Styela clava: one gene and its partners. Each later gene encodes a partner of the first gene's protein in a complex. Links are inferred from orthologs where the notes say so. Each region holds a gene or a part of one and is shown in the gene's direction. Other genes may lie near its edges. The genes, in order: nuclear pore complex protein Nup98-Nup96-like, nuclear pore complex protein Nup214-like, PCI domain-containing protein 2-like and nuclear pore complex protein Nup107-like.

Region 1 (7,760 bases):
ACCGCGGCAGGTGGGTCGTAAGGACAGGGCTGTCCCTTATGGTGACAAATATTGGGTAAGTTGGAACGTTTTTCTTATGGATACAGTCTTGATGGATTTGGGGTTAGGGTTAGGGTTTAAGTAAATATAATTCCGCATGATCAATTAGAATTTGGTACATTAGTTTGTGAATATACCGTTAATACTGATTACTGAATACAGAATAGCGCTATAAAACCATGGCAAGAGCTGCCGCGGTTCGTTTGTGGCAGGAGCTGCCATGGAGTGGTAAGAACTGCGCCTCCTTTTCTCCCCGATAAATAACTCTGTGGCTTGGGGTTTTATTCAAAATAACTGCATTTAAAACGTGTTGGAGAGATTTTTGGCTATCGACAAGGTAAAAGCCCCTATTATCTGCTTATAAGTCTCCGTACCGCTAATATCTGAATATTGATTATGTGGTAGGTCAGGTATTAATATAAATTTTTGTGGAATGTTTTCACTCAAAAGTGCACCCATATCTAGAATTAGATTTATTACTGAAAATGACTTCTGTGTAGTTTGAGGTTTGGGGTCGCGACCCCTGGTTTGGGAACCCCTGGTATAGTGTATTTGTATATCATAAATAGTAGATAAATAATAATTGGAAAACTTGTTTTCACATGCTTTATCTTAGCAATCCGCTATTTCATATTTGTACATAGAAATAGAAAGTAGATATATCTGTATATTCATAAGCGAACCACTGTGCTGTTCGATTCTGTAATCCATTTGCACTGGTCTGCAAAGCCAAATCTGCTTTTTTTGGTTTTGCGAGTCAAATACGATAACCAGTACTTTTCAATAATGTATGTCTGGGGTCTCTACTTTGGAGGGCCACATTATGTCAGCGCAACTTCGCAGTGATGTAATTTTCGAGTGACGTAGTCAGTACTGCAGTTGAAGGTTGGCAATGACTAGGGCTGTCCAAAATCGAATATTTTTTTGATTCGAATCGAATATTTTTGTCGAATTGAACCGAATAATTGAATATTATTGCGCAGTCCTAAATCTGTTTCTATTATTCAATAAAAACTCCCTCTCGATATTGTGATAACTTATGTCCAGTTAAATCTAATTTACTGCTGATATTTTGCATAACTATGTTTTTAGAGTTATAAAAGGAGATCCCCTGCCTCTATAAACTGGTCCAAATAGAGGTCTCCAAAATCAGGATTTTGAAAACTGTTGAGTGTTAAGGCTGAACTCTCAATACCTTATTTACTCAATTCTAATGGATTCAGTTTTAACAGAACATGCAAATCCTGTAGATGCTATTTTAATCCTATTATCATTACTCTTATGTTTTTTTTTGTGTGTGTTATTTCCTGCAAAATGATAACAACCATTAATATAGATAATACTGTTGTTCAAGAAATTCGAAGTTGCATATAAGGAGATCACAAATTCAGAGCTAGTTTGATGACTATAACATTGTTACTGTACAACAGCCATCAAAATGCAAGAGTTCAATGTCTTGGTAAATGGATGGAAAATACATATACAAATTATAAAGTATTGCCATCATGAGAAATTACACATTCTGTTTCTAAAAGGTATTGCCATCAAAGATGGCCAATACCGAATAGTTCACTATTTCGAATACATTCGAAATTATTTTTTTCGAATATGAAATTTCGAATACTTCGAAAATAAAATCCACTAATTGAAGCTTATCTAAATGTATGTAGGAATTTCCATACAATAAGCAATGGAATAACTGCTATCAACAAGTTACAACCTAGCTATATATATTACCAGGCATTTCATATTTGCAGATTATTGCAGTATATATTTTATATATATACCATGAATCATGTTAACAGAATTAAATTAATACGACAATAGTGGTATCGATGATGGATTTGAATATTTGCGCAACACAAAATCATCCTAGTAAAACGCTCATACTTTTAAATACCAACCATTATCCAAATTATTTGCCAAAAAGCGGGATAAAGTATGAGTTATTTTTCCGACTGGTGACAATTTTTCGTGAGTACAAAAATACGAATCAAAAATTAATTATATTCAGGAACTTTACCACACATTTTAAGTTCGCAGATCACCGTTGTATGTTCGAGTAATAATACTTTTATTATTTCATAAATATGAAAATAGGAATCAAAAACTATTTATATTCGGGTAGTTTACCACACATTCTAAGTCCACAGATCGCCGTTGTATTTTGTAAATACGATAATGGGAATCAAAAATTAATATTAATCGCGAGTTTGCCACACAATTTATGTCCACAGATGGCAGAGATATTGTGCCGAATACAATTAGTTTTTGATAACGAAAAAATTGTCACAAGTCGGAAAAAGAATTTTATACTTTATCCCGCTCTTGGGAACTAATTTGGATAATGGCTGCCATTGGTTTGTATTTAAAAGGTATGCATATTTTTACCAGGATGATTTTGTGCTGCGCAAAATATTCGAATCAATGGCCGATACCACTATTCAAAATGCCTTACCGTGTTAATTTAATTCTATCATCATAACTCAAAAGTTGACAAATCGGGCAGTTTACCACACATTTTAAGGCCACAGATCGCCGTTGCATTTTACAATTATATATAATAGTTTTATTATTTTCTAAATACGAATCCGAAATTGATTATAATTGGGCAGTTTACCACGTATTTCATGTCCACAAATACCAGTGGTATTTGGTACTAATACTTTCATTATTTTATCAATATAAAAATAGAAATCAATATTTAATAATATCGGTCAGTTTACCACACATTTTATGTCCACAGATTGTCGATACAACCATGTGTTACGATAAGCAGAATTAAATTAATACGACATGACATTTTAAATGCTGGTACCAGTCATGGATTGGATTATTTTGCGCAACAAAGAATCATCCTGGTAAAAGATCGATACTTTTAACCATCGTTATCAGAATTATTTGCCAGAAATTATTTTCTAATGAATCGACTTGTTTTTCCAACTTGTCACAATTTATTGGATATCGTAACAATGACGGCTATAAATACCGTATTTCCCGGCTAAATAAGTCCACTTGGCAAATAGGACGATGTCTATTTTTAACACTCAAAAAATGGGTTTTTCCATATAGGCCTCCAATAAGACGGGTAGAAAAATTGTGTCCCTGTTGTTCAGTTGTGCTTATACGCGCTAACAATTTTATATGTTCAGAACCAGATCATGTTAGTTCGGTAGAATCATACTCACAGAATTAACTATTTTTAACAATTGAGCGGTAAATTTAAGTTGTAAAGCGTCAATCATTTTGGACAACCTATTAACCCGAAAGTTGAAATAATTTTGAAATGTGATAAGTACTACACTGTACGTCCACGGGTTATTTCACAGCTGTGTTTTCCTGTCCCTGTCGTGTTCTGCTGAATCGGCAAAACGAAAGGGTCACAAATCACTTTATCTCGGTGGCCGTGTTTCTCTTTAAAGTAACGATAACCGGTCTGCGATTAAATATCATGTAATACGGTAATTGTCAATTTTTCGAGGTAATGGAAATGAATTTGTAAATTGAAAGCCTCGTAGACGAATGTCGGCAATGTCCACCCACGCAAACGTGCAAATGTGTCGCAACACTTTGCGACGTACGGTCGCACAGAATCCAAATAATCAAAGTGAGGATTCTATTTCATCGTCATTACAATACGTGAGACAGCTTAAAAAGTCGTTTGAAGATTCCCGTGAAACGAAACACCACGTTTACGGCGAAAAGTGGCTATTATTCGGAATTATTCGAAAATGAGCTGAAAAGGTATTCGAATACTTTGATATTCGAATACATTCGAATATTCGATTCGTTTTGGACAACCCTGTTTTGCCATCATAAAGAACCCGCAATACCTGTTTCAGCTTTAAGTCACTTGTACCATGTTCCTATGATTAATAACTGGACAGCTGCAAATTGATTCTATTTATAGAACTATCTTTTTTCTATCTGATACTTATATTGCCTTTTTCACCCTATGTACTCTCTATCAAAATCGTCATGAATGATAATAACATTTAGGTTATGACCATGCTTGAAATAACTAATCACATGCCACTGGGCATTAGGAGAGACACATTTTTATCGTAATATGACATGTAAGAAATATCGGGAAACCAATTATGCCAGGGGCGAAGGTTGTCTAAGCTCGAAGCGCCGCTGCTTGAACGATGAAAAATTTTATGTACCTAATTTTTAGCGATTTGAAAATTAGCCGTAAAACGATTCGAATAATTTGCGATTCGATTTCGAATATTCGGTTCGCATGGACAGCCCCAGCAATGACATATGCAAAAAATTGATGAGCCAGGCCTACTTAGGTACTTGTGGGCATATACTTCAGGAGACTACAGGGGTGGTGACTCCACTACGACCCATGGGCCGGGGCCACGGCCCATCTAATTGAGCCACATGAGCCGTGGCCCATCAAGCTATGGGCCGCGGCCCCGTCAGGAAAAATTCAATTATCTTACCAAAATTTTCAATTTTTACAAAATTGTCAATATTCGAACCAAAAAATAAACTCCTGTAGTATGTGTACCAGGTTAGAGTTAGGGCATAATTTTGTTCAGATTTGTTACATTATAGTTCTATTATGAGTTTGGGGACTGTCTGTGTTAGCCAAGTGAATAGTTTACCTTTACACAACTTGATGGGCCGTGGCCCATAGCCTGATGGGCCGTGGCCCCGGCCCATGGGCCGAAGAGGAGTCACCACTTCCACTCTCAGGAGAACCTATTTCTGTATTAAAGTATTACTGTATTAGGTGATAACAATATCAAAATATTTTAATCAAAACTGTGAAAGAAAAAAGTTCAATAGTTTGAGATTGAAAAGTCTGGAAGTCTCTGCCCGTTCTTGTGTTTCTCCACGTTTTTTAGTGTGACAGTTCAAGTGAACAATAATTTCTTCACAAGCCATTAATCATATAAATGTAGAGATGTTTGGTCAGAAGTCAGGATTCGGATCTTCAGGTTTTGGCTCAGGAGGTAAGTTAATTATGTCACAAATCCACAGGTTTATTGATATAATTACCTGCTCGCACAATAGACTATGCTCGAAGAGCAGTGCACTGCTTGTGTAGCTACTACCCATTCCTGTATTCTATATGGCATTTCAATAACATCCTTAGATGGTATCTAATAATATAGCCATATTTAAGTACACTGATTTCAGCTCTCTAATTACAAGAATAGCCCCCATAATGAAAGACATCAAATATAGCAGTAAGTGCAATTCCTGCCTTTGCGAGACAGTTTTTGGCCTCCCTATCGGCAAAAATGCGCAAACCGGCACTGTTCTATAAACTAAAAACAAGTGCAATCGAAAAACATTATCATTAAATTCTTCAAAAAAAATTTTACAGTAGCATTAGAGAATTCTTATGCAAAAAAAACGCATTTCGTGGCAATGGCGACTATAATTAATTAAGATAATTATCAGATAAACATGGCATATCTGCCATTGTGCCAGACTCTTTGTTTTATTGAAGCAAATGTTAGGACACCTTGGAATCAGAAAACTGTGCCCTACTCTATTTATACCTCAGGATTCAAAACTCATAGTTCCTAACAGCTGATATTTGGTTATTATGCTTTCAAATTATTAAGCATGTGCATTACCATGCTGTCTTGCCCAGATTATTTATTGCAGTATATTTCGAATTTAGGGTTTGGAACCAATAATTCAGGTTTTGGAAGTACAAGCACATCTGGAGGGCTATTTGGAAATAAATCAACTACATCAGGTGGCTTGTTTGGCACAAGCACGCCAGCATTTGGGGCAAATAAAACCGGTATAAAATTTTTTACTGTATTATGATACACTTCAAAAAGTCTAATAATTTTGTTGAGCATGCTGTCTCAAACTAAGCACACTCAAGTGCTGTAATGGCAGCCATTTATTATATCTTCAATCAATGTATAAAACTATAGGACCATTTTCGATCACTTCTTTTTATAATTGCTTGAGCGCATGAATTTACCAGTATTGTTTTGATCTGTTTATATGTATCTTGATTCACTGTATCACATTGTCACCAATGCCAAATCAATGTAGTTTTCATGGTTTTTGACCCTTCTCGTCACCTTATCACATTACAAATACACACATTATCTATGTACCAGATTGAATTGGTCCTTATTAGCTTGAGTATTTTAAAATTAAACAACAGCCCGAAAGTTCATTACATTCGCGGATTTTGTGTGTTTATTTCTTGCCCAAGCCTTGTTCAACAAAGTTTGTGTTTTTTTGTAAATGCGTGTTGGTGAGCGGGCACATGATACTCATCTTATTTTAAACTTTTTTAAAGGTTTTGCTCGCTCTCCGGAATTCTTCATTTTTTATTCGTTTGTATTGTCAGATTGTGGAGTTTTCGAAATAAAACTATCTATCTGTCTTCTTTATTAGTCTATTGTATTCGACTAATGAAATTGGTAAAATGCTAATGTATCGCCTATTCCTCGAAATTCTTATTAAAGAAACTTTGTGAAGTGATAATTTGACAATAGTTAGGAGGATATCAGCTTTTTCCATAAAGTTTTTCCATAAAATATTTTTCATACTTTGGCAAAGCATTATTATGTTATACATATTAGAGAGGTGCTGGTTATTAAAGAGGGGGGAAAAGTGATCATAACACAGACACCTCAGCATTCGGGAATAATCAATCTGTTTCTATTTCACCAGGCTTCACTTTTGGAGGAGCTAGTCAGTCTTCTACAAGTAGTGGGTTGTTTGGAACTCCAACATCTAGCAAACCTGGAGGTTTGTTTGGAACACCGGCAGCTACAGGTGGAACAAGTGCATTTGGTGGTAATTCTGCTTTTGGAAGTACAAGTTCAGCTTTCGGCCAGCAAAAAACTGGAGGATTGTTTGGTAGCACAGGTGGAACATCCTCATTTGGATCCACAACTACTGGAGGGGGCCTTTTTGGTACGTTATCCATAATACTTGTAAAGTTTTATATGTAAATGATAATTTTAACACATGAATGACTGTGAGTCTGTCACCTCATCTTGTACTTGTAGATCAAATTTTAAATTTGACTTTGACTTGAAGTTCCTGTTTCATCTAGTTCAGTGGTTCCCAACCGCCGGTGCTTTTTTGCCAGTTTAAACCAGAAAACGGTCAAAAACAGTATTTCAGCAAGATATGAACTTGTTGCGACCCTGCAGGTGGTCATGTGACACGCAAAAAAAAAAGGCCACAAAGATCTTTTCCAGTATTTTAAGCCTGGTGCAAAGTTACCGACAACTTTGTCATTGTAATGTAAATTCATTTTGTTTGAGGCGTCGATCAACCGCAGAACTAGGTATTGCAGAAACTTCTTTGAGCCCAGCAGCAAAGTGCTCACTAGAGTTAATTGCGTTTGTACATGATTAAGCATGTACTTGTTCTTTTTATATGTGATGTTTTATAAGTGCCTTCCTCAGGCATAATGGATGCCCAGCACTGCATTTCATTACTCAAATATATGATTTTATTTTATGTTTCACCCATTTCAATTTTTGGGCCGCATATTATTTGATAGTTTTTCTTCGTGTGAAATGTTTTTAAGTGTGACTATTTTGTCTAGAAGCATATTGATTTTAATTTTACTGGCCCGCCAGGGTAGAACTGTTAGGAACCACTGATCTAGTTATCTTAATCTTATGTGAAACTCAAACTGTTTGTTTTTGGTTGATAGGATTTTCATCTGCTCAACAGCAAAATGGCACAGGAGCGGTTAAGTTCAACCCTCC
Region 2 (7,800 bases), on another chromosome or scaffold:
TTTCCTTTTTTTAATGTGTACACTTTGTTGACTTTAACAGAATGACCCATTGTGCCACAGGGTCTGTCCGAATGTGCAGTACAGTGGGACACTTGACAAACGTTTTTCAAAGCATTTTGGTGGTAAGATAAAGATGCTTTAAAATCGATCAGCTGCACTTGGAAGTCTTCGATGTCCATCCATTCAAATACAAATAAGTTTAAGTCTTCGGTGCACTCGGGCTTGATGAGAAAAGAAAACAATGAATCAAATTGCTTAAAATCTCGAAATCTATTGGAAAACTGAAACGTTAGAGCCCCCATGTACCTCAATTGTATATCAATTTCAATTATATCAGAGAGAGAGAGATTTATTATTTGTCAACCAGAAAAACAAGTATTGCAACAGTAATAAAAATATACAATAATAAAGATGTTCGGTATAGACCGGGAGGAGCGATAAGACCATACGGTCATCAGAGTCAGCTCCCCCCATATTCACTATTTTATATTATGTATAATATTTTTTGCTTCCAGAGGGATGTCACAGTAATATATAAGAAGACAAGTGAATGATAAATAAAAAAGTAAATATTTATAATAGCAGTGGCGGCGCGTGGTCATTTTGACAACCGGGGCAAGCTACTGCGGGACCAAGTCACCCCCATCTACGGGGACAGGATGAGCGCTGTAAGTTCTCTCATCATTTTATGAGTATAAAAACCATTCCATCGGTAACAACCAATCGGCAAAAGCGACAATTTTTAACGATAAGAAAGTGTCTTTAAAACCGGTCCAAGTCAAGGGATTAATAAATATAGACATAGTTTATTTTGAAACCTATTTCAAAAGGAAAGGCAATATTTACCCAGATAAATACAATGACATATTAACAGAAACTTCGGGAAAGCAGACAAAACCTAAAATAAGGTTTAAAACGTTACTATGGAGAAAGGAAAGTTAATGCAAAGATAAGGACATGCGTCGCTCACTCATAGATATATATGCTGCTAGACTTCTACTGCTTGAACATATATGCAACACGCCGCGATTTCTTGGAAGCAAAATGCTCAATAACGCGTTGATTAAAGTCATGCATCTCAGAAATAACGTCTCTGTGAATGGATAAACAGCCAAGGAATTTAATCTATCTTGCTTCATTGTGTTTCTGAGATACGTTTTAATACGCTTCAACGTGCTGAATGTTCGCTCTGCGTCGGCGGAAGAAATAGGCGTCGTCAAAATGATGTCCAGAAATTTTGCAGACGCCGCAAAGGTAGTTACTAGAGTGTTATCTATGAGGAACCCATAAAGCGCGCAAGTTGATGTGATGTTCAAAAAAGTTTGATTGGTGTATATACATCGCAATTCATTTACCAATTTACCCACGTTTATCATGGGGTAAAATTTGGAGACAGTAGCCAACAAATGGATGGGAAATTGACGTGCAAATTTTGAAAAATTTTTGGGGTTCATCAAAGAGAACGCGGCAAGGTGTTCAGTGCGCAGACGATCGCCTATTTGATTCACCAGAATGTCACAGCATTCCTTTGCAGACAAAATCAAACGCTGCGTTGTTTGCCCGCGGCGTAAAGAAGCACTCCATGTGTCGTCGTATTTTATTGTATCCCGGATACGAGATACAGCATCGCAGAAGTTTGAAATACACGACTGCACAGACGCTCCATCCATTAGCCTTGACTGCAATGCGCCGTATAATACATCCACGTGATAGAATATTGTGGAGAAAAAAGCGAGAAAAAATGAAAACTCACCATCTTCTAGCAGACGCTTTAGACCTGCCGCCTCCCTCACAGAGCGTTCGTCCCAAACCGGAGAGCTCTGAATGCCATTGAAACACTCAATGAGCTCAGACCTAATTTCGGACACGCCCTGCACCACGCGTGATTGGAAGTTCCAACGTGTTGGTGCACAAGCTGGGAGACGGCGGCTACATATCTGGCGAAGGAGGTCAGAGCGCTTCGGCGAAACGGAAAAAAAATGAAGAAAACCCCGAAACATTTGCAAAAAATATACGGACGAGAGGGGTATCAAGACACATATTTTTAATAACGAGGTTAAATTGGTGTGCATAACAATGTAAAAAATGCGCATGAGGAAAATCTTCTTTTATATAAACTTGAACACCATGTTTCGACCCACTCATGACTGCCGCGCCGTCATAAGTTTGAGCTATCAATTTTGACTTCGCGTTGTAAGGCTGTAACACTTCTTTCAGTACAGCCGATATCTCGCAAGCCGTGCCATCAACGATTGGTACAAAGCTGTGAAATCTCTCGGTAGGTTTACCATCTTTCGCAAACCGAAAAATCACAGCCAGTTGGGAAACGCACATGATGTCAGTTGTCTCGTCAGACTGAATCGAAAGGAACTGGCAATTCTCAATTTCCAGAGCCAAATGTTGTAAATAAATTTTTAAACATTGAGTCGAGCTTTTTCATTATTGGTCAGTCCCTTATCAATTTTTATAATCCATATTGCCCACATATAGAGGCAGATGTCCCAGATTCGTATGGACTCAACGTAGGAAGAGAATGTAGCATTTTTCATCAGTATATACAATAATAATGATTTGGGACGTATAGATGCAAGTTTAAACGCAGAAAATTGGATGCAGCAATTCATATCAACATATACAATAGTTATGATATGGGATATAAATCCTTTAGATTGGATTAATAATATAAATGCAAGTTTGGTTTAACATAGAAAATGAATGCAGCAATTCATATCAACAATGAACGCACGCCTTCAACCTACAGCATAAATTGTTTAATTTTATAGGCCAGAACTAAACAATAAATTCAGGAGAATAACAACTTGATGGTCGATTGAAAAGGCCTTCAGGTGTTTGAAGTATCGAAAAGTTGCATTCTGGATGTCCCGTGTTTAGACATCCAGTCTAGATACAAATCCTTTCTATGCCTCAAAAAGACCCAACACCGTTTGCCCTGGACCCGGCAGACGAAGATTGAGTTCGCTAAGATGCGTGGTGATATCCGCGAGAAACATTAGTTTTACAAGCCAGTTTTCGTCCTCCAGTTCAGGGTAAGCCTTTCCTTGCCCTATCAAAAAGGCTCTTGTCTCAACTCGACATTCGATAAACTTCACGAGAACCTCACCGAGACTTAACCATCTGACACTGCTTCAGTGTTGTTGATCTGATGCACATCATGGTATGCACATTCCATCTCTTCAAGAAAAAATCGAAACTGTCTGTGTGTTGTAGCAGAGCGGGCGACCCTTACCACGATCAATCAACGATGAGCCACGCTGCCGCGCTATGTCCTTACTAAAATGGATATGTCCTTTCTAAAATCGCTATCTTCCTACTAAAATGGCCATTTTCCTACTGAAATAGCGTTGCACCTACTAAAATGGCTATATCCGCTACTGGTATGCCTCTACTAAAATAGCCTTGTTCTTTCTAGACCGCAATTCCGGTTTGCTTCTATTAAAACAGGGATGTCCTTACTAAAAATGCACGTACGCTATGTTCTTTCTATATGAACGTTTGTTCCTTCTAAATTGCGATTCCGATATGTTCCTACTAAAATGGCTATGTACGCTATGTCACAACTAAAATGGCTATGTTCCCTCTAAATCTAAATTCACGACCCCGATATGTCCCTACTAAATTGGCTATGTTCTTTTCGAAAAAAAAAATCCGCCATGTCCCTACAAAAATGGCATTGTGCGCTATGTCACTACTAAAATAACGATTTCCGCCCTTTACTTACTAGAATGGCTATGTCCGCTATGTCCCTATGAAATGGCTTTGTTCCTTCTGAAATGGCGATCCCGATATGTTCCTAGTTCCTACTAAAATGTCCGCTATGTTCCTATTAAAGTGATAAGAAGAACCCAATATTATCATGTTATTGAATTTGTCAAGTGAGAAAGATAGTATCACACTTTTTATGAAATCTTTCTGGAAGACAAAATTGCTTCCGATTTGCGTGTTTTTTTATTTGAGGAATAATATGACCACGTCAATATGGAAGAATATTACCTTATCGTCTTATTGATTTGATTGTAACGATGTGATAACGTTAGTACTCATTTGATGTTACTTGATTAAGGCGATGAATAGTGTGGCATTGGAACTTGAAACCCTAGTAGATTGAAACATTACTTACATTTTGTGGAATGACGTTATGTCAATATTGTTGTTCATATACGTACTATTGTTAAATCTAATTTCGCAAACCGGTGAGGATCTGAAAACTTGACGTTTCTGGCGTTTGTTTTTCTTTCAACGTCGAACGAATGGCCGTCGTGACAACGAGACATTTGTACGATTGGACTTTCTAAAACGGTTCAATCGGTTGATCAAACATGGTCTAGCAATTGATGAATGATAAAAGCAATTGTATTACATCGTCAGTTGTAAATATTAATTTGATATTGCGCTAACCCGTAAAAATGAAAGTTCACTTGAGAATTCATCAACAACTCTAGCGCGGGGCGGGTGCGCGCCAACCCGAATTTTATGAGAGTCTTTCTACTTATCTTAGAATTGGATTGTACGTTAAAACGTTAAAAAAGCAGTGCCAAGATAACGATTTTTGTTGTTGTGGAATGTGGATTGACCCAGAAATCCTTGTACTCAAACTTGGTCCTGAATATGTGAAAGGCCGCGACCGTGACTTGTTATTTATTTACACGCCGTTGATAATGCCACGCAGTGTTCCCATTGCGCTGTTGTAATGCAACCTCACTGTTCGTAATGCGATGTTCCTAATGCGCTACTCGTATGCTCAATTCTGCAGTTCTAGAAGTTTGCACTCAGTGTTGTATTATTACCGGTACCGTTTGTTTATAATCTTAGTTAATATTTCCTTACATATGATATTCCAGTATTTTGAAACGCACTTAATTTGACAGAAACTTAACTTACTTTAAAAATGACTGAAGAGGAAGAAGAAAATTTCCCACCAGAAATACAGAGACTTGTAAGTAGATGCTTAACTGTTTATAAGATGATAGATTGAATAAGTCGATTTATATTCAATTGTAGTCTATAAGTTGCAATGTCATATTACTGTTCTGTAACATGGAAAACTTGATACAAAATGTTTAATGATCTGTGATAGTCTACTGAGCGATATCGTATGAAAACTTCAATTTTAATGACCCTCAAATGATCACTAATATACTGATATAGCGCTTTTTGAAACAAACTGAAGTCGCTGGTTTTATCGCCACAATTCAGTATGGCTCAGATTCCAAGAATAGCCCTCGCATTAAAAGACATGAATTATAACAGTGAGTGCAAACCCTTTATATTGCGAGACAGTCTGGGCCTTCATACAGTCATATCGCCACAACTCAACTGCTCAATAAACTAAAAGGAAGCGCAATCTAAAAACGTCACATTTGATTCCTCTGAAAAAAATAATCCGATTCGATTCACCAAAGGAAAAATTTTTTGACCGAGGCGTGCCAAAAGCCCTCTTTTTAGCGACAAATGGAGAGTTTGTTTTATTGAACCAAAGTGTTGGGGCATCTTGAAATCAGAGAACTGTGCTCCTTGGTACCTCTGGTCTTTGTATCTCCATTTCTTGTAGGCCTAGTTTTATTGTTTTGTTTTTTATGCCAGAGCGATTAAAATTGAATTGAATATATCAAACTATTAAATGACGGTAGGCCTATAGTTTCTCTCAATAATATATAATTGAGATAACTTTTTTATTGCACAAATTATCATTTCAGCCAACTGAATTTTCATTTCGTGAACTGACAAACTTGAAAGCTTTTGTATCAGAAAGCCAACCTGAATATGCCACAACACGCACTGGCCTTCTTGCTGTTGCTAACATCTATGGATATGTCTTTATTGGAATGCCTGATGGCTTGAAGGTAGCTCATGTTGATTTCTGTGATGAATGATAAACATTGATGAAATAGTAAAATTTATTTATCTATGGAATATGTTTGCTTTTGTATCGGACTCAATTAAATGCTTGTAACGCACCTATGTTTATGCTGTCAATATTGGATAAATACCATAGTAAATTCCTCTGTATTATATTCTGGACTGTTAAGTTTAAACCAAACTTCAAACTCTTGGACATTAAAAAAGGAATTAGGATGTCAAAAGGACTTCAGCTTTCGATTCCAATATGAAGGAAAATTTGTCTCCCCTTGATGAGAAAAAATTTGGCTTATGCAAGCTTTCTTGTATTATATGTCGAGACGACTCAACTCCAGATTCCGACTCAAGGGAGGTATAAAATTAGACCCAAGCTCAGACTCCAATATCAATAAAAGCATCCCAAGCCGCCTGAATTCACAACCCTAAAATAGCTAAATGTTATTCACTATTTAGGTGCTGACCTCTGCTGACTTGCTTGAAGCTGGAAAGAAGAATTTGAATGTAATTGACTCAGCTGTTGCGACAATTGATCTGAGAAATCCACCAAACTGGATTGGAATAAACTCTGATAATCTCACTCTCTCTGTGTGCTGTAAAACTAGTAAAGGACCACAGATATTATTTTTTGATATCAGGAATATTATCAACAAGGTAAAATGAAATAAAGAAAATACTCTGATAGCATTGTTGTACATTAATATACAATGCAAAACAAAATGATATTATATTTTGATATCAGGAATATTATAAAGGCAAAACATAAATCAAGAAAAAACTTAGATGTTCATTTGTATACAAAAATGATGGTCGTATCGGAATATGGCAATACATTGCCCTCGTGGTTGAAACGTTAGACTCAACTGTGTTGGCATCGCAGATTACACATATCAGGTTTAATTTCTGAGCTTCCCACCACTCCCCAGTGTAATATAGTAGGGCCCACGATGCCGACTCGAAAACATTTCGGATCCTTCCAAATGAAACTTCTTGCATATCGTGAGATATCAGTGGCCGTTTGTATATTACCTTGTTCAGAGGGAAAAATGTGAATCAGCAGTCTTTTTAAAATTCATATTCTGGTAGATGCTAATTTGTTAATGTCTAGTTACCAAAGTGGTGTTAGGAGAGATTTTGTGCAGAAGAGATATTCTCTTAACGAATTTATATAAATACTTTTGCTTTTTAATATAAATTTATATTATGATTGTTATTTCTAAAGTAGCAGGCATTCACTCATTAGAATTTACCTTATTTTTTTAATTTTTATGATAAAATGTACTCAAAGCTCAGAAGTAATAAAGACACATCAGCAAAGTTAACTGAAATGCTGAGGGCTACTGAAAAAATATAGAATAATGGTGGTGCTTATGATCAAGAAAATGTTGATTGACATAAGACTTGAAGTACTTAGTGGTCAATACAATCAGTAATACAGCTATGAGATAATGTTTTTTACATAAAGGAAGTTCTTACTACATACTGATCTTGTATGCACCACCGATCAGAGTTATGCGAGAATAAGCCGACCCCTTTTTTCAGCAACTTTTGAGTTTCAAACTCTGATTATATGCGAGGATATATGGTAAATAAATTTAATATTGTCCATATTCTGGGCTTACACCGAATTACAGTTCTCATTTTCTATCTCTTACAGTCAAAACCTACCAAGACTCCATTTCATAGTATATATTTGAACAAGGATCCAAACTCATATGTGGTTAGTATGCAATGGAATCCTTCACCTGTTTGGCCAAATCTCCTTGCTATGTAAGTAATGTAATATTTTTATTTATTCTGTTTTGTTAAAAAACATAATTTGAGCATATATTTTGACCAGTCTATTTGATTATTATGTTATTTAAATCACACTTTCATATTAATTATAATTTTAGATTGTTTATAATTTTTTAATCAACAATGTCG
Region 3 (7,560 bases), on another chromosome or scaffold:
TATGGCAGTATGGCTATGGGGTGGTGCAAAAAAAATATTTTGAAAGCAGCTGGAAGTTTGGACCAGTCTGCCAGTAGGTTACAAGCCTACAACTGCTGAACTGTCTGACTGTAAAAAGGCATGAATTAGGTGGTTCAGAAAAATGTTGGTGCTGCACTTTCGGCGCAAATTCATCAAACGCAGTGCCTTATTAAAATAATATGGCGAGTACCGGTACGGTACCTACAGTACCACTGTACCAGGTTATCGAACGAAATGTGCGATTATGCAAAGGACCAGTGCCAAGGGATCTGAATTAGAATTGGGAAACACTACCAAAATTCTGCGATTTATCTTACCTTTTAATAATTAATGAATCAACGATGATTGACGCAGAATGCAGCAGCTGGTTGTGAACATAGCTTGCAATTTTTGTAGAAGGCTACAATTGTGGTGTACGGATTTGCCAGGCATGGTAGCCTAGGGGCCTCGACATCCAATTTTGAACTGTTATTCATTTTAAGTCGTTTTTAAATTTTAAGGCTTTTACTGATTCAAAAATTTTTTTAAATTGACATTCATTGAATTTTTTATTTGGCTTAATGCTTGTCGCAAATATATTCTGTTTACAAAATTAACAATTAAATACGATCGAATGAATGGATTGTTCCAAATTTCCAACTTCACCCCTTCAACTAAACAAATATACTACTTCGAAATAAATGAACAGTTTTTTACCATAATAATTCCCTCTATTTATTGAAAAAGATGATACAAATCGATATATAGCTATACTCATTCATCTAAGCAATATTTAATCTAAGAATTATTTAATTATTTTATGATTTTCGGATAGTTTTTTAACAAAGACCCGTTTATTACGAATAACTTTTTTATTAGTAATATTTTATTTATAAGTAGGCCTACCTGGGGCCATGGCCCCTCCCTCACTTTTCCGCGACCGTAAATGGTTGTTATGAACCCTATCCAATGCCATGATTTTATTACAGCCTTGGGTTTTTGAAGAAGTTCTTAAATTTAACTTACTATCCAATCTATTCGGGTTATTAGCGAATGTATATTGCCTGTAAATAAAATTTCGTATAATTGATTCTGTGAAACGTTGTGACGTCATTGTTGAAGGGACATTACAAATGAAATAGGCCTAGCTTAGTGGCCTCTTGCTGTCTAAATACAGCCCTGCCTGTACCCCATAGTTCATAACATTTATTGAATAATCATAATATAGTGAATGCCATAACTACTTGAATAATGGCAAACAAAAATGTGATATGAAAATAGAGCCCATAGTTTTATTTTTTTTAAGTAACAGTCTGTCTTGTGGGTAGTATACTGGTATAGCAGGATGAATGCCTTAACTGCTTAAACGAGAATATCGGTCAGAGACCGAAGACTTATCGATTGAAGGTTAGGGGATGCCCCAAAACAGCGCTCTTACTCCATAGTGACACCATGTGTCCCATCACTAATTAATTAATAACTAGCTAATTATACGACATAATTCATCGAAAATCAATAGGCTTCTGATCCGAGCTATGATGATACACACGCAAAATTTGGAGCTGATTCAACCTCGCTTTTGTGAGATATCGCGGGCATCTAACAGAGAGACAGACAAACAAACAGACAAATACCTATCAACATACTTACCGATCTTAAGATCGGTAAGTAATAACGCTATTAGCCTTGAAAATTTGATTCTAATTCCCTAGCTTAGGGATCACCTATCTATTCATAGTCTAATGACCATATCTGCATAATTATCAGGTACATATATGATGGAGGAAGCTAATGATTCCTCAACTTCTGTTGGGACTGGCACAAGTGAGGATCCTCAAAGCTCAACATATAGAAGTTGTTGGGTATGTTTTGGAACAGATGACGATGAACATATGAAATGGGTGAAGCCTTGTCGTTGCAAAGGTACGACAATGTGGGTCCATCATGCTTGTTTGATGAGATGGATAGATGAAAAGCAGAAAGGCCATTCTTTTACTAAAGTAAAATGTCCACAATGCAACACTGAATATGTTGTTGTTTTTCCACCTTTTGGAAAATTGACGAGTTTTATTCAAACGATTGATCACATTGTGTTTAAAGCTTCACCCATTGCGGCAACCGGAGTTCTTCTTGGATCAATATATTGGAGTGCGGTCACTTATGGAGCAATCACAGTAATGCAAGTTTTGGGCCACAAAGAAGGGTTAGATATGATGGAGCGAGCAGATCCTTTATTTTTACTTGTCGGCCTTCCTATGATACCAGTCGGTCTTGTCCTTGGAAAAATGATACAATGGGACGATTATCTTTTGAGGTTATGGAAGAAACACTCTAGCAAGTTGGTTTACTTGAAAAAGCTGATTTTTGGGACACGCCCTTCACAAGAAGGAACTTCAACCATACTTCCTCCATCTCCAGTAGAAATGCGACAGACAAGAGAAATCAAGTTTACGAGAGTTCTTTGTGGAGCTTTGATCTTTCCAACCGTTGCAACTATTTTCGGAAAGCTTTTGTTTCACAGCGTTGAGTCGAATTTTCAAAGGAGTGCATTGGGTGGCGCATCGTTTGTTATTCTCAAAGGATTTTTGAATATCTATTTGAAATATCAAGTACAATCAAGAATGGGACAAAGGGAAATCAAGGATTATGTAGAACCTGTTCCACAACTGGAGACTGCTACTTGATTATTCTAAAGAATTGCCACTACATGCAAATTTACTTCATTCAGCTATATATATCTTTGTTCCTTTGAGATTTAACTATGTAATATGAAATTTAATATTAATTCTACAAGAGTTTTAGACATTATACTTTTTGAAACTTTGATCCGGATAAATCAGCTATATTTGTGTTCATATTTTTTGCATGAGCAATAGCAAGCCGAAATATTTCTAGTATTTTCAAACCGCAATACTAATTTATATGTTTATTACTAGAATGACAATTCATGTTTTATACCTGTTAGATTAGTGGTTTTCAACTATTAACTGATCGCATACCACTCAACTGGTTTTTACTCTGGCCACGTACCACTGACAAAACCATATTTTAAGGGTGGGGAACAATGGCACAAGAAACGCACTGACAATAGGGCGATTCCTGATCTCTGGAAAAACGACGGGTGGCGCTATAAATGCAGTTCAGCAAAAATATACAGTATTGAAAATAAGGAGAAAGCGTTGCCGGCTTATTTCTGTCAACTCAAAAGTTAGTTGTTGTTAATAATCCAACAATCCAAAGCTGCTTGCGTACCACTAGTGCTATGCGTACCACATGTTGAGAATCACTGTGTTAGATGATCCATGGAATCTAAGATTCGACTGTCTGCAATTTGCTTCTGATTTAAATTACCAAACTCAGTGCAGAATCACAACTACTCAATAAATAATATTCATGGGGTAGTATCGGTTTCATAAGCAGTATCTGCATTTTAATTAGAAAACTGCTACATGTGAATAGATTGTTTTTATATGGTGTGCCCTATAGCCTATATTTTGGATCATATTATAAGTTCATTATTTGTACATGACAGTCTTTGTCCAAGACCTATCTAATATTTGAATACATTCAACACTGGGAAATATTAGATATAGTGAAATATTTTTTGAAAGAATTTTAAAATATTTCCATTTGAAAATTCGTCAATTTAAGCACTTGGCATCAGAGGGTAGGGTGAATAATAGCTCTAATTCTAATTCTGATACTGTAGAAAATCACTTAAGTCAATGTATATCTAAACTACGGTATTCATCTGCAATACCAAACTCAATTTCTATAAATTAACAAAACTTCCCTGCAGAGCATGATCCTATGCAGGATATATTTTACCATTCATTGCATAGTTAAAATTTCAAATCAATATAAAAATTCCAATGTCAATAATATATTTTTTGTTCCATTCACCTTGCCAAAATATATCCTGACATGTAATTTTATAATTTATAAGTCACTGCAATCATGAATTGCTGTCTTATTCAACCCATATTAATATACAGAGCGGTCAGACACAATGCATGATTATGCTGCATTTATTTGTATTAATTATGAATTTATTTATGTGTTTACGTTATTTATGTTTCTAGTGTATGGCAATGTTGTTATTGGTTCTATGTTTGACCTTTTTGAAATTTTAAATCTCGCTTTATCAGCAATACTTTGAAATGTAAAATATTTGATAATTTATGGGTACTCCCGAAGTATGTGTACCAGGTTAGGGTTGGGCCGTAATTTTATTCCAATTTCCCTTATTTTAGTTCTATTACAAGTTTGGGGACTGCCTGTGTTAGCCCCCTGCGCATAGGTTTCAGTCCCTTCACACAATTTGATGTAAAATAGGCGAACAAAATTAGGGATTACCTTCATATTGGTACACATACTTCTGGAGCGCTGATTTATGTCATTGTAGTATATGACAGGTCTAGACTAGCTATCTAAAAATAAATTATATATTGGCACAGTATTTTACTAGTAATTGTAAAAAAGGGTTAGTTAAACAAATATTGTTGTAAAACATGAGCTGAACAAACTCTTTGTTTTGTTTTTTGTTATTTTATCTTTAGAATATCTCAATAATAGAGTAGTAAATACAACTTGCTCATCTGTCATTTATGTTGGTTTATTTAAAGTTTCATCAAGTTATTCCAACATGGAGTTCCATTCCCTAAATCAATATCTGCAAGAAGTAAGTGTTACAAATTTATGATCAAATCCCAGTCTCGTTTTTAAAATAGTTTTGGTTTGTTGGGTTGCTTTTCTGAAGCCTTATTCAGAAATTTTGAACCTGCTATTAGATATTTTGAATTATTCTTATTAAAAGGTCTATTTTGATTATTATTTCTACTTTGTTATGTTATTTGCAACATACATTTCTGGTATCTATCGTTGAAATTAGTGTTTCGAAATTTCATCCAGATATTTGACCATGCTTCTTTTTTCAAGGTTTCAACAGCATTAGATGAATGTGATGGTGAAGCACTGGCAAGTTTTGTCTCCTTCAAAGATCCCCACATTGCAAATTCCAAGCTGCAGAGAGATGATCCAGAGGGAAGTTGCCAAAGATATTTAGAGAGTCCATATGATAAATTATTTGCTGCTCATGTAAAGTAAGTTAGATTAATTTGATTTTTAATTAAGATTTAAGATAGGGGTCCGTCATGGAATTTTTTTAAAAAAATTTGGGGACCACTGATCTGAACTGATTGGTCTCTACAGTTCTTTGGTGTTTGTCTTGTGGTTCCATAGGGAACCATAATGATCCAGTTGAAATGAGAACACCTTTATGTGCATAAAAGCGTCTTAGAGTACTTAAACTTTTGGGTACAAACAGAAGTTCCCTGCAAGTGTAGAATAAAATTTTCTTCATTTTTGCGGAAGTGATTGAATAATTTATTGGTTCTGTTTTTTATGTAGCACTCAATATATCCTGTTTCGTGAATAAATAAAATGCACATTTATATATATTATTCATTGTAACATTATATGTGTAAGTTGTGTTTTAGATTAGCTTATGCATATCATGTTCATTTGCAGAGCCTGTTTCTCTGTTGCAAGTCACAATTTCAAGGATGCTCATGGATATCAAGTTCTGGCTATACAGTCATTTGTTAAAGCTTTCCAATTACAAAAAGATGAAAATTGGTAATTTTTTTTTTTTCATGTTATACCACAGCAGAAATATTTATACACAGATTTCCTTTACAAACCTTAGCTTTTGGCATTTCAGTGTTGCCTGTAACTTTGTTCAGAGTTAGTAATTTTCACTTCTGAGTGTGTGGGACTCTGCTCTGATTAAATTATTTTAAAAATTTAAAAGCAATAAAATCCTTTTCAACTCAAATAATGTTTTTATGTCTCAGTACAGGACGTAAATTTGAAGTCTTTTTGATCTCATGTGATCCCATGAAAAAAAATACTCACAAGCACTTGCTTTGATCAGTATACCATATACACAGTAATTATAATGAGTCACAATATTTGCTGATGATGACTTGCAGTAGTTACTTCTGCATTGTATGACCTAATAAAAATTACAATCCGTAATCGCACCTATTTGATGTTTAATTTTGTGGAATATTATGTGAGTAATCATGGATCGACCACTCCAGGCTAAGGTTGATAGACCTCTCATGTCATTACCAGCATTTGATGTTACATATGGTATTTACTAAGATGATATATTGTTTTAACAGGGCTCTTCCAATCATGTATGCATTAATTTTGGATCTGAGGACATTTGCAAATAATGTAAGAGTATAATTTCTTTATTCCAAGTTAGTTACGATTAGTTCTAGACTAGTATATTCAAACAACCATTGATAATTATCATTTTTAACTTCCAATGACTTCGTACTGATTTGTAATAAAGCTTAATAAATATTTACAGGCTGATAGAGAATTACAAAGAACGGGCAAAGGGAAGAAGGGTGATATGCTGGAAAAAGCTGCAGACACTGTGATGAGCTGTTTTAGAGTTTGTGCTAGTGATGGGTATGTGACATGTCAAAGAGTGAACCACAGCTCGTTTACTTTTGTTTGCCTAACTTGATTCTGGTCCAAAAACCATGCCCACCCCTGTTTTATAACAACACAATCTGTTTGGATTTCCGCTTCTGAAATATCCATTATCTGCATTGAATGAATTAGTAATCTTAGATCATGATTTCTTTGATCATTTTATATGTGAAAGAAAACGCGGAGCTATCAAGTCAATGGGAAAATCACTGATAAAAAACTTCGTTAGAAGCAGCATTTATCGGGCATAAACAGCTTTACATAAATTTATTTAGTCTTTTATCGAGTATTGCTATAGTTTTATCCCAATATTTTAAATGTGTTCAAATTGACACTGACACTATTATTTGCAGGAGATCATCAATTGAAGTGTCAAAGAAATGGGGAATGTTATTTTTAGTCAATCAACTTTTTAAAATTTATTTTAGGTAAGATATGCTTTCATTTTACCTCAATTTATGACCAACGTGTTATAGTATTAAAGATAACCAACACTCTCATTGTTTTCTTTTTATCTTCCATTTGTTTTTAAACAGAATAGGAAAACTACACCTTTGCAAACCATTAATTCGAGCCATCGAGAGTAATAATATAAAAGAAAGGTTTACTTTGGCCCAGAGAGTGACCTATAAGTAAGTCTGTCAGTAAACTTCTGGTTATTAGGCCTAATCATTTAAGATAATTTTGACCAACAAGTTGGATTGGGTAATTATTTTAAGAACTTAAGATTAAAAATTTGTTGAGGATGGTAAAACGTTCAAATATCTGTACTATTATGCATTTTAGCACCTGGATGAAGTCATCTACGTCTGAGAATTTTTTATTATTAGGTTAACCGTTAGCCGGACAAAACTGTTTACTATTGTAAATTCAAATCCTTCGACGCTATTTATGAAAAATATTATTGTGTTTACATTTCTTCAATTACCATAATGTGTACTCATTATGACATTCATTAGAAATTGACTCTGAACCTGTCATGAAATTCTCTGAATTAACAGTTGGTATATAACATTAGTCATGTTTGTTTTTAGGTTTTATGTCGGTCGT
Region 4 (7,379 bases), on another chromosome or scaffold:
CACCCTCTTTAAATGAAATTTCAATGTTTAAGCGCAAACTTTAAAATTACTAACTTTGAACTTTGTCATTATCTGCAAAATGTCCCACACAAATCTTTACTCTATCGCGTTTGTAATCTTCTCTGATAAAAAAAAGTCTATGATGTCCAGAATTACTCTTTACAGCTTGTATGTCATTCCAGCTTTCCAAGTGAGCAAAACTTCTTAGATATAGAGATTATTTTCTTTCGTTACAGGCGCAAAAAGGCAGGTACTAAACGTAAAGAGGACGCCGGTTAGCAAAAGCAAGCGGAAAACGGTCGCGAAAGGCGACGAGAAATATGTGCATTGGAGCGTATCATGAAATACAATCTTTCGCATGTAGTCTTATGGAGTGACGTCAGAGTTGCCTATCATGTTGTTTAATGTCATTGCTCAGACAGATTTTCAAGCGTGGTCGTAAACATTACCTCGTTTTTGAACTCTCATCGTTGGTTTTCAGTTTTGTTTCGGAAACTTAAATATAAATCAGATAATTCAATGATCACTCTGTCTTCCTAGGAGTTTTAATTTAATTGCAGTATGGAAAAATTAGTGTAGAAATAGCTGTGAAAGACTAGGCTAAATTTCTTCACCGGTACTTTTAAAAAACGGATTGTTGTATGCGATGAATCGTAATGATGGGTTGAAAAACACACCCCATTTTACAGGCGTCAACTCGCAGAAGCACTCTTAAAATAGCCCCGAAAATTTTGCAATGGTAAAGTACAGGAAGAATTTTTCGGTGATCAAAGGTCGGGGGAAGGTCCATATCTTGAGCGCGACAAATTGACCGTTAGGTGAAGCCAAGGGTGAAGCTATGATAAAACAAGGGAAATCCCCACTGTTTTCGCGCGCGTGTGGGTCACTGGAATGGACGTGGCATCTGGTTACCGTTTCCCTAGAAAACTTTCCCTCATTCAGGTTTTACAGTTGTCCCTTTCGAGCTGAAGTAATGATACTGGACATGTATTGAGGTAGTGACTGAGTCAACACGATATTAATGATTCAAAACTTCATGCTGCTTTTCAAACATGTAGCCTATTTATTTATCTGTCTTGCACATTTGATAGTTTTTTGGTGATTTTTTGCATTTCTGACAGCAAGCGATACCGGTATCTCCCATAAATTTTGACTTGTATATTTCTATGCTATATAGGAATCTCAGACTCAAAATTTACAGAATTCGAGAGAGATCAGCTTTATTTATATATATTTACTGCAAGGCTAATCCCAGAATCCTGGCGATTTCTCAGCTACCATAATCGTATAAGAACATTTGAAACATTTATCAGAAACGGAGGAGGTGGTTGGGATTCTATTACATTTAGTTTTATCTACTTGAATCTTGCTGTCTTATTTCAAGCGCAACTCTTATTTTACTCCATGTAAATTATTCACTGATTCAAACAATTATTTGGCTTTTATCATTTTAAATTGAGTTATAAGCACTGCCCGATTTTGAATCGTGTCCATATTTTTTGTATACTCGTATTATTCCTATTTTATTTTTTGGTGGGTGGGCTCGTACTTGTACGTTTTTTAACTTTATTTTAAGTTATGCTCGCCTTCCAGGTATCTCTGTATTTGTTGTCTGTTTACTTTTTTGTATTGTCCCGTTTTAGTCAGAGAGCCGAAATAAAATGATTGATTGATTGATTCTAGTGATAAACTCTCACTTCATCTTCATAATCATTTTTTTTTTTTTTGCAATTATTTTATTGTTATGCTGATTATGGAGTTGAAATGAAGGGTCTAGTATAGTTTAATACCACAAATACTTCCGGTGGACGTATTATAACGAATTTTGCATATGTTATTCCTAACCCCCACCTGACTATGCCATCCAAAAATTACGTCACTATCACGCCATAGGGCCTGACAAAGTAAAATTCCCATCGCCCGAAATGGCATCAGCGCCAACTCGCCAACGCTGACAATCTCTCTCCTATCGTGATCGTTGTGACGAGAAACGAGAGAAATGGTTGCTCGATTTTGGATGATTGTCTGCGCGCTTTGGACAACCATCCGCATACTTTGGTGGGCCTTATTACAGCACTGTGACGTCGGAATGACGTATTTTTTCAATGGCGTAGTCAGGTGGGGGTTAGGATTGACATATGCAAAAATTGTTGAGCCAGGCCAAGTAGAAGTACATGTGGTACTGAACTATACCAGACCCGAAATACCTATACTTATCTGATTGCTTTTAGTTTAATGCACTACTGACCACTGTTCATAGTTTTCATTAATTTCCGGATATTGATTTAGACTACTTTTCAACTTAATTCATAGTTAGCTAAGCTTTACTCGCCAAACTCACCCAAGTAGGCCTATTTGTTTGTAGATTTTGTATTTCTGTTCTGAATATTCTAATATTGCAGTAGTCATTGATTGATTTATTCTGATCCAGTCCGGATTTTATGGCGTTTTCCATGAGAAATACAGAAATTGGGCATGCAATCAGTGACTAGTTTCAGAGTTTAAGAACCACACCACTCTCCGACTTTCAGTACCCATCGTCTGTAATATACACTGCTGACAAATTCGAATAGGTCCTATTATAAACTGCCTAATTATTGATAACACGTATCTTTCATCATCTTCCCACAAGCTCACCAAAACCCATGTCAATTAACAACTATACGAGTCTATCCTCCAAACACAAGTTTTTTTGTAACCTGTATCTCGATACTCACAATTGTACATTAACACAGAACTTTCTGATGAACTTGGTCGCTGATTAATTGATCTTTGACCTTTGCGAATGCAATGTCGCAGCCGGTTTTCGAAGCTTGAACCTCTGTCGGCCAAAGCAGTAGTCCAGTCCTTTTTACAAATAAGCCTACTCTTTCAGTCTCAGATGTTCAGCGTGTGTGGTCTCTGATTGTAAATGTTAAACTATTTTTTTATATCCAACATCTGAACATAGGCTATGCAAAAAGCTGTAATGAACATTGAAAGTAGGTAAATTCAAACATGTTTACTTGACTAAACCCAAATTCTAGTTTTTTATTACAGATGCACTAATAAAAACTATTTCTGCATCATGCTTCAGATAAAATACTTCCAAACCAGCATATTTTAATTTTGTAAATAGCTGAAAATGAATAAAAAACATGAAAAGTTTCTCTTGATATAGTTCTATCATTTTTTGTTTGATTATTAGACTCATGGTTTTTGATTCTCACTATTTGAATATTCATGATCTTGGTATGGTGGTAATTTTTAAAACAATTTCGCTTTGATCATCCTGATCTTCTTTCGTTTCATATGCTCAGTTATAGTGTCTATAAATTTGTACTTCATAACCATAAACCAATCATAATAAATCATGTCTGATGTACAAAGCGAAAATGTAACTGCCACCATTGCTCCTGAGAAGAAAGTGGATGAACATGTTGAAGAAAAAGTTGAGAAGACGGAGGAACTGACTGCAGATTCTCAAAGTGATGGGGAAGAAGAGGAATTTGCAGAAACTAACTTTGAAGCAGACGATAATTCTGAAGATTTTATTCCTAATGAAGAAGTTGACGAAAATGAGGAAGAAGATTCTTGCTCAAGTGGAGAAGAAGAAGTTGGGGTCGATGTAAAATTAATTGAACTCGGAGGTCAGAAGTTCCTCCAACTAAAATATGAGAATGATGAACAGCGGCGAAAGGAATTACAAGCTAAAATGAAAGCAGAAGATAGTGAAAATGAAGAAGAAGAAGAAGTCAGTAATGAAAAGCAGGAGGACAAAGATTCTGATAAAAAAGAAGGTAAAGATTCTTTCAAATACTACAGAACAGCTACAATATTAGATGAAGATATGGATAAGGAATATAAATCTGACGAAGATGAATATTTCGACCCCATGGAAGGGGGTACCCTCACTGATATTGAGTATTCCAGTGGAGATGAGAGAGACACTGAAAGTGAACCGGAAACTGAAACATTAGAAGGAAAACACAAGAAAACTGGTGAAGCATTGACGTGTATTAAAATGATTGAACAACTTCAAATTCCACCTCGTGACCAGACCTGTTTACCAACAGAATTTGCTAGTGCTCAAGTTTCTGATCAGCCAATGGAATGCTCATAAGTTGTATGTGTACTGAGAATCAAAAAAATTATTAGAACTTAAAAGGTGTTACCCCTGACTCTTGGACAACATTGGACACAACTGATTATTTCATATCATTTTGTTGCTAAGGTCAATTCTATATGTTTTGTACTTGAATATTTGGCCACTTTCTTTCTGGTATTTTGATATGCCCAGTTGTTGTTCCATCACTGCTTTATTTCTCTCACTGCCGATTTTCATTCTAAGACTGTGCCTTTTTCACTATCGTAAGTTTTTCATTATTTTCGGTTATTTCAGAACATAGATTTAAATATTAATTGTTATTGGGACACTTCAAAATTCTTCAAACATTTTTTCAAAACATGGATGAAAGGAATGGATCATATATTGGTAGTCGTAGGTAAGCGAATAAATTGTTGCCAATGTTTTTTTCACACCTATATTATTTTTATTACTTCAATAATAAAATTTACTTCAATGTTGGTGATTGTTCAGTTTTTACTTATCGATCTTAAGATCGTTAAGTATGTTGATAGGTATTTGTCTGTCCGTATGTTTGTTTGTCTGTTAGATGAACGCGATATCTCACGAAGGCGAGGTTGAATCTGCTCCAAATTGCATGTGCATTCATCATACCTCGGACCAGAAGCCTATTGATTTTGGATGAATTATGTCCTATAATTAGCGAGTTATTAATTAATTAGTGATGGGACACGCTGTGTCACTATAGAGTCGTGAATCGAAACCGCATTTTCGATTGATAAGTCTTCGGTCTCCGACCGATATTCTCGTTTGTGCATTAAGTGCTCTGTTGGACAGACATGCCAGCAAGATATAATAGCCCTTTTTTGATACGTCTTCCAAGTAATTTCCTAAAATTGAAAATAAGTTTCTTCCTAAGGTGTTCAATATTCTGTGATAGTCTCGGTATCCTAAATGCATATGCTTATCTCTTATGTTTCAGAACTCGAGGTTTGAACGCAAGTGGATTGATTAATTCACCATCAACAATGAGAGACGCAAGAAGTATGCAAAGAAGATCAAGGATGACACCACAACAATATCAAAGTATTTTCAGAATATAATTTTTTAAAACTTGATTATGAGGTATTCCTCTTCACTCCCCTCTATATCAGATTTTTTGTCATCCTTTGGTAAAAAATTAAGCAGCACTAGGTGTATTACTGAACCAAAGTAATAAATGCAAATCAGATATAACAAGTATCTTCAGATATACAGTCAACATTAGTTTCTTTCATGATTTGTTGTGGACTGGGTGGCTATCCCATTTTTGGTGGATAAAAGAGGAAAACTTTGGAGTGTGCTTACTTGGCATATAAATGCTTGCTTAATTATAAACTTAATACAAGTTTTAACTTTCAGGTCTTCAACAACTGGATGAGAGTATAGTTCAAGAGAATCCTGCGTTTCTTGAAGCAATTACTCCAATTTCTGGACCTAGCTCAAATAGCCGAGGTATTTCTATGAGATGAATTGAATTGAATAATATTAAATTATTCTTCAGGTCGCTACTTCTATATTGGCATTTTATAATTTGCTAGACTTTGTTATTAAGTTTTGGAAACCATACACATTGTAACTAGCCACAAAATTATGCCAAATTATAATCTCTAATCTACTTGTTTCTAAGGGTATAATCATGATAAGGGTTGTGTGCACATTTACATAGAATTATCTTAAAAAAATTTGTTTATCATCTATCATCAATTTGCAAGCTATTCTATGTGATTCAAGAACATGTTGCACATTAGCACTCTTACATTATGGAGATACTAATCTATTAGCTCAATAAAAGTAGGATAAGTAAGTAATCAGTTTCACAGAAACCCGAAGAATAGAACTTTTGTTGTCTTGAATCTAGTTCACTTAAAAATAAAGTTTGAATGCTTGCAGGAATGACAAATTATGATTTTACCAGTCAGCAATTTCCTAGAACAATGATGGCCAGACAAGAAGCAGAATATTCCATGGTGAGATTATGTGTATGTGACTTTCTAAAGCATATCGACGCATGAAATCCAAATTGGGCTAAGTCCATTTTTCTAGTTTTGAGAAAAACGTTTTTTTTTTTGTTTCATTTTTTTATTTCTCTAATACCTTACATTGAGGATGTCTAGTTTTTATGGTCCACCAAAGTTACAATGAAGGCCATATTTAGATGGTATAAAAAAATTTGTGCTCCGCCCCAATTTTTTTTGGGGTTTTTTTTTGGACTTAACCCTTTTTGGCTCTCAATTTTCTGGACCAAAAACAATTTTATTGGACTTAGGGCCCCTTTATTATGTTATTATAGAGGCTGGTATGGACTTAGCGCTTTGTATTATATTTTTTGAGAGGAGCTATGTCCAAAAAACGGACTTAGCGCTTTGTATTATATTTTTTGAGAGGAGCTATGTCCAAAAAACGGACTTAGCCCCAACTTACAATGCAGTTATCCAGAGCTAAGTCCACTATAGTAGACACAGGTCTGTTTAGTTCTCAAATGCCCTAAAAAAAGCAGGGTTATGTCCATAGCTGTCTTGAGATCTAGAGCACCTAGAGATAAGGCAAATAGACCAAAATGTAGAGCTAAGTCCAGGAAAATCAGCAATTGAAAAATGTCATTTTTTGGAAAAGTGGACTTAGCACTGTTTGGTTTTGAGGTGTCGATATTTTTGCGTATCTGTTTGTAAATTATACCAAACTTTTCCAACTCATTTTCTTCTAATATTTATTGATTAAACCAAATCCCATCTTGGCTGAGAAGTGCAAACTGAGTGAAATATATATTTTTTTCAATTGCTGTAGTATATCATACTAATTTGTCTAAAGTAAATTCGGCATTTTACAGTTCACAAATTGTGAGTAGTTTGGTCTTCAAAATTTACCAGTAAATATTTTTGTTATGTTGACATATGTATATGCAAGAACCTAATTAACCCAATCGTGTAATTTGGTACTATCATTAATAATAATATTTGTTGTTATGCTTCTTTCAATTGAAAACTAATATAAATCAGTTAATTTGAAATGTTCCCCTTTGGAATAAATTCTTTCTTTTGTTATTTGGTTAAATTTATAGCATTTTGACACATGGCTAATAGTCTTGTACAAGATTTCTGTTATATTTCATCATCTGTAGTTTCTGTACAGAAAAATTCTGAAGAATATTAATATTCAAGAGTTATTTTTAGCTTGACATTTCTGATGAAAATTTCGAACTTGATGCAACGAGAAATCTTCTTGAACCTAAAACTCCATCTGGCTTCACTCAACATATGACAACATTACAGTG

Evidence for each region.
Region 2: nuclear pore complex protein Nup98-Nup96-like (region 1) and nuclear pore complex protein Nup214-like share a complex: the UniProt entries of both Drosophila melanogaster proteins name them as parts of the nuclear pore complex. The link is inferred for Styela clava from reciprocal best matches to the Drosophila melanogaster genes Nup98-96 and Nup214.
Region 3: nuclear pore complex protein Nup98-Nup96-like (region 1) and PCI domain-containing protein 2-like share a complex: the UniProt entries of both Drosophila melanogaster proteins name them as parts of the nuclear pore complex. The link is inferred for Styela clava from reciprocal best matches to the Drosophila melanogaster genes Nup98-96 and PCID2.
Region 4: nuclear pore complex protein Nup98-Nup96-like (region 1) and nuclear pore complex protein Nup107-like share a complex: the UniProt entries of both Drosophila melanogaster proteins name them as parts of the nuclear pore complex. The link is inferred for Styela clava from reciprocal best matches to the Drosophila melanogaster genes Nup98-96 and Nup107.

What each region holds. Positions count from the first base shown.
Region 1 is NC_135250.1:14,540,451-14,548,210, forward strand, and holds the start of nuclear pore complex protein Nup98-Nup96-like, read left to right. Parts: upstream 1-4,749; 5' UTR 4,750-4,957; coding exon 4,958-5,006; intron 5,007-5,686; coding exon 5,687-5,812; intron 5,813-6,705; coding exon 6,706-6,951; intron 6,952-7,705; coding exon 7,706-7,760. UniProt on the Drosophila melanogaster protein: Part of the nuclear pore complex (NPC). Required for MAD import as part of the Nup107-160 complex and required for nuclear export of Moe probably via its association with Rae1. Plays a role in nuclear mRNA export.
Region 2 is NC_135255.1:11,062,705-11,070,504, forward strand, and holds the start of nuclear pore complex protein Nup214-like, read left to right. Parts: upstream 1-4,795; 5' UTR 4,796-4,906; coding exon 4,907-4,954; intron 4,955-5,714; coding exon 5,715-5,861; intron 5,862-6,330; coding exon 6,331-6,528; intron 6,529-7,531; coding exon 7,532-7,644; intron 7,645-7,800. UniProt on the Drosophila melanogaster protein: Part of the nuclear pore complex. Serves as a docking site in the receptor-mediated import of substrates across the nuclear pore complex including emb, RanGAP and phosphorylated Mad. Protects mbo/Nup88 from proteasomal degradation at the nuclear pore.
Region 3 is NC_135256.1:15,194,906-15,202,465, reverse strand, and holds the start of PCI domain-containing protein 2-like, read left to right. Parts: upstream 1-4,555; 5' UTR 4,556-4,645; coding exon 4,646-4,681; intron 4,682-4,938; coding exon 4,939-5,102; intron 5,103-5,529; coding exon 5,530-5,637; intron 5,638-6,188; coding exon 6,189-6,243; intron 6,244-6,382; coding exon 6,383-6,486; intron 6,487-6,863; coding exon 6,864-6,938; intron 6,939-7,046; coding exon 7,047-7,142; intron 7,143-7,544; coding exon 7,545-7,560. Other genes in the region: E3 ubiquitin-protein ligase MARCHF5-like, read left to right, coding at 1,768-2,684. UniProt on the Drosophila melanogaster protein: Required for the export of nuclear mRNAs and involved in mRNA trafficking in the cytoplasm.
Region 4 is NC_135258.1:21,257,824-21,265,202, reverse strand, and holds the start of nuclear pore complex protein Nup107-like, read left to right. Parts: upstream 1-4,376; 5' UTR 4,377-4,446; coding exon 4,447-4,484; intron 4,485-5,048; coding exon 5,049-5,152; intron 5,153-5,467; coding exon 5,468-5,560; intron 5,561-5,998; coding exon 5,999-6,075; intron 6,076-7,278; coding exon 7,279-7,379. Other genes in the region: uncharacterized protein LOC144427178, read left to right, coding at 3,353-4,102. UniProt on the Drosophila melanogaster protein: Plays a role in nuclear pore complex (NPC) assembly and maintenance. Required for nuclear import of Mad. Mediates the association between the nuclear pore complex and a subset of active chromatin regions adjacent to lamin-associated domains.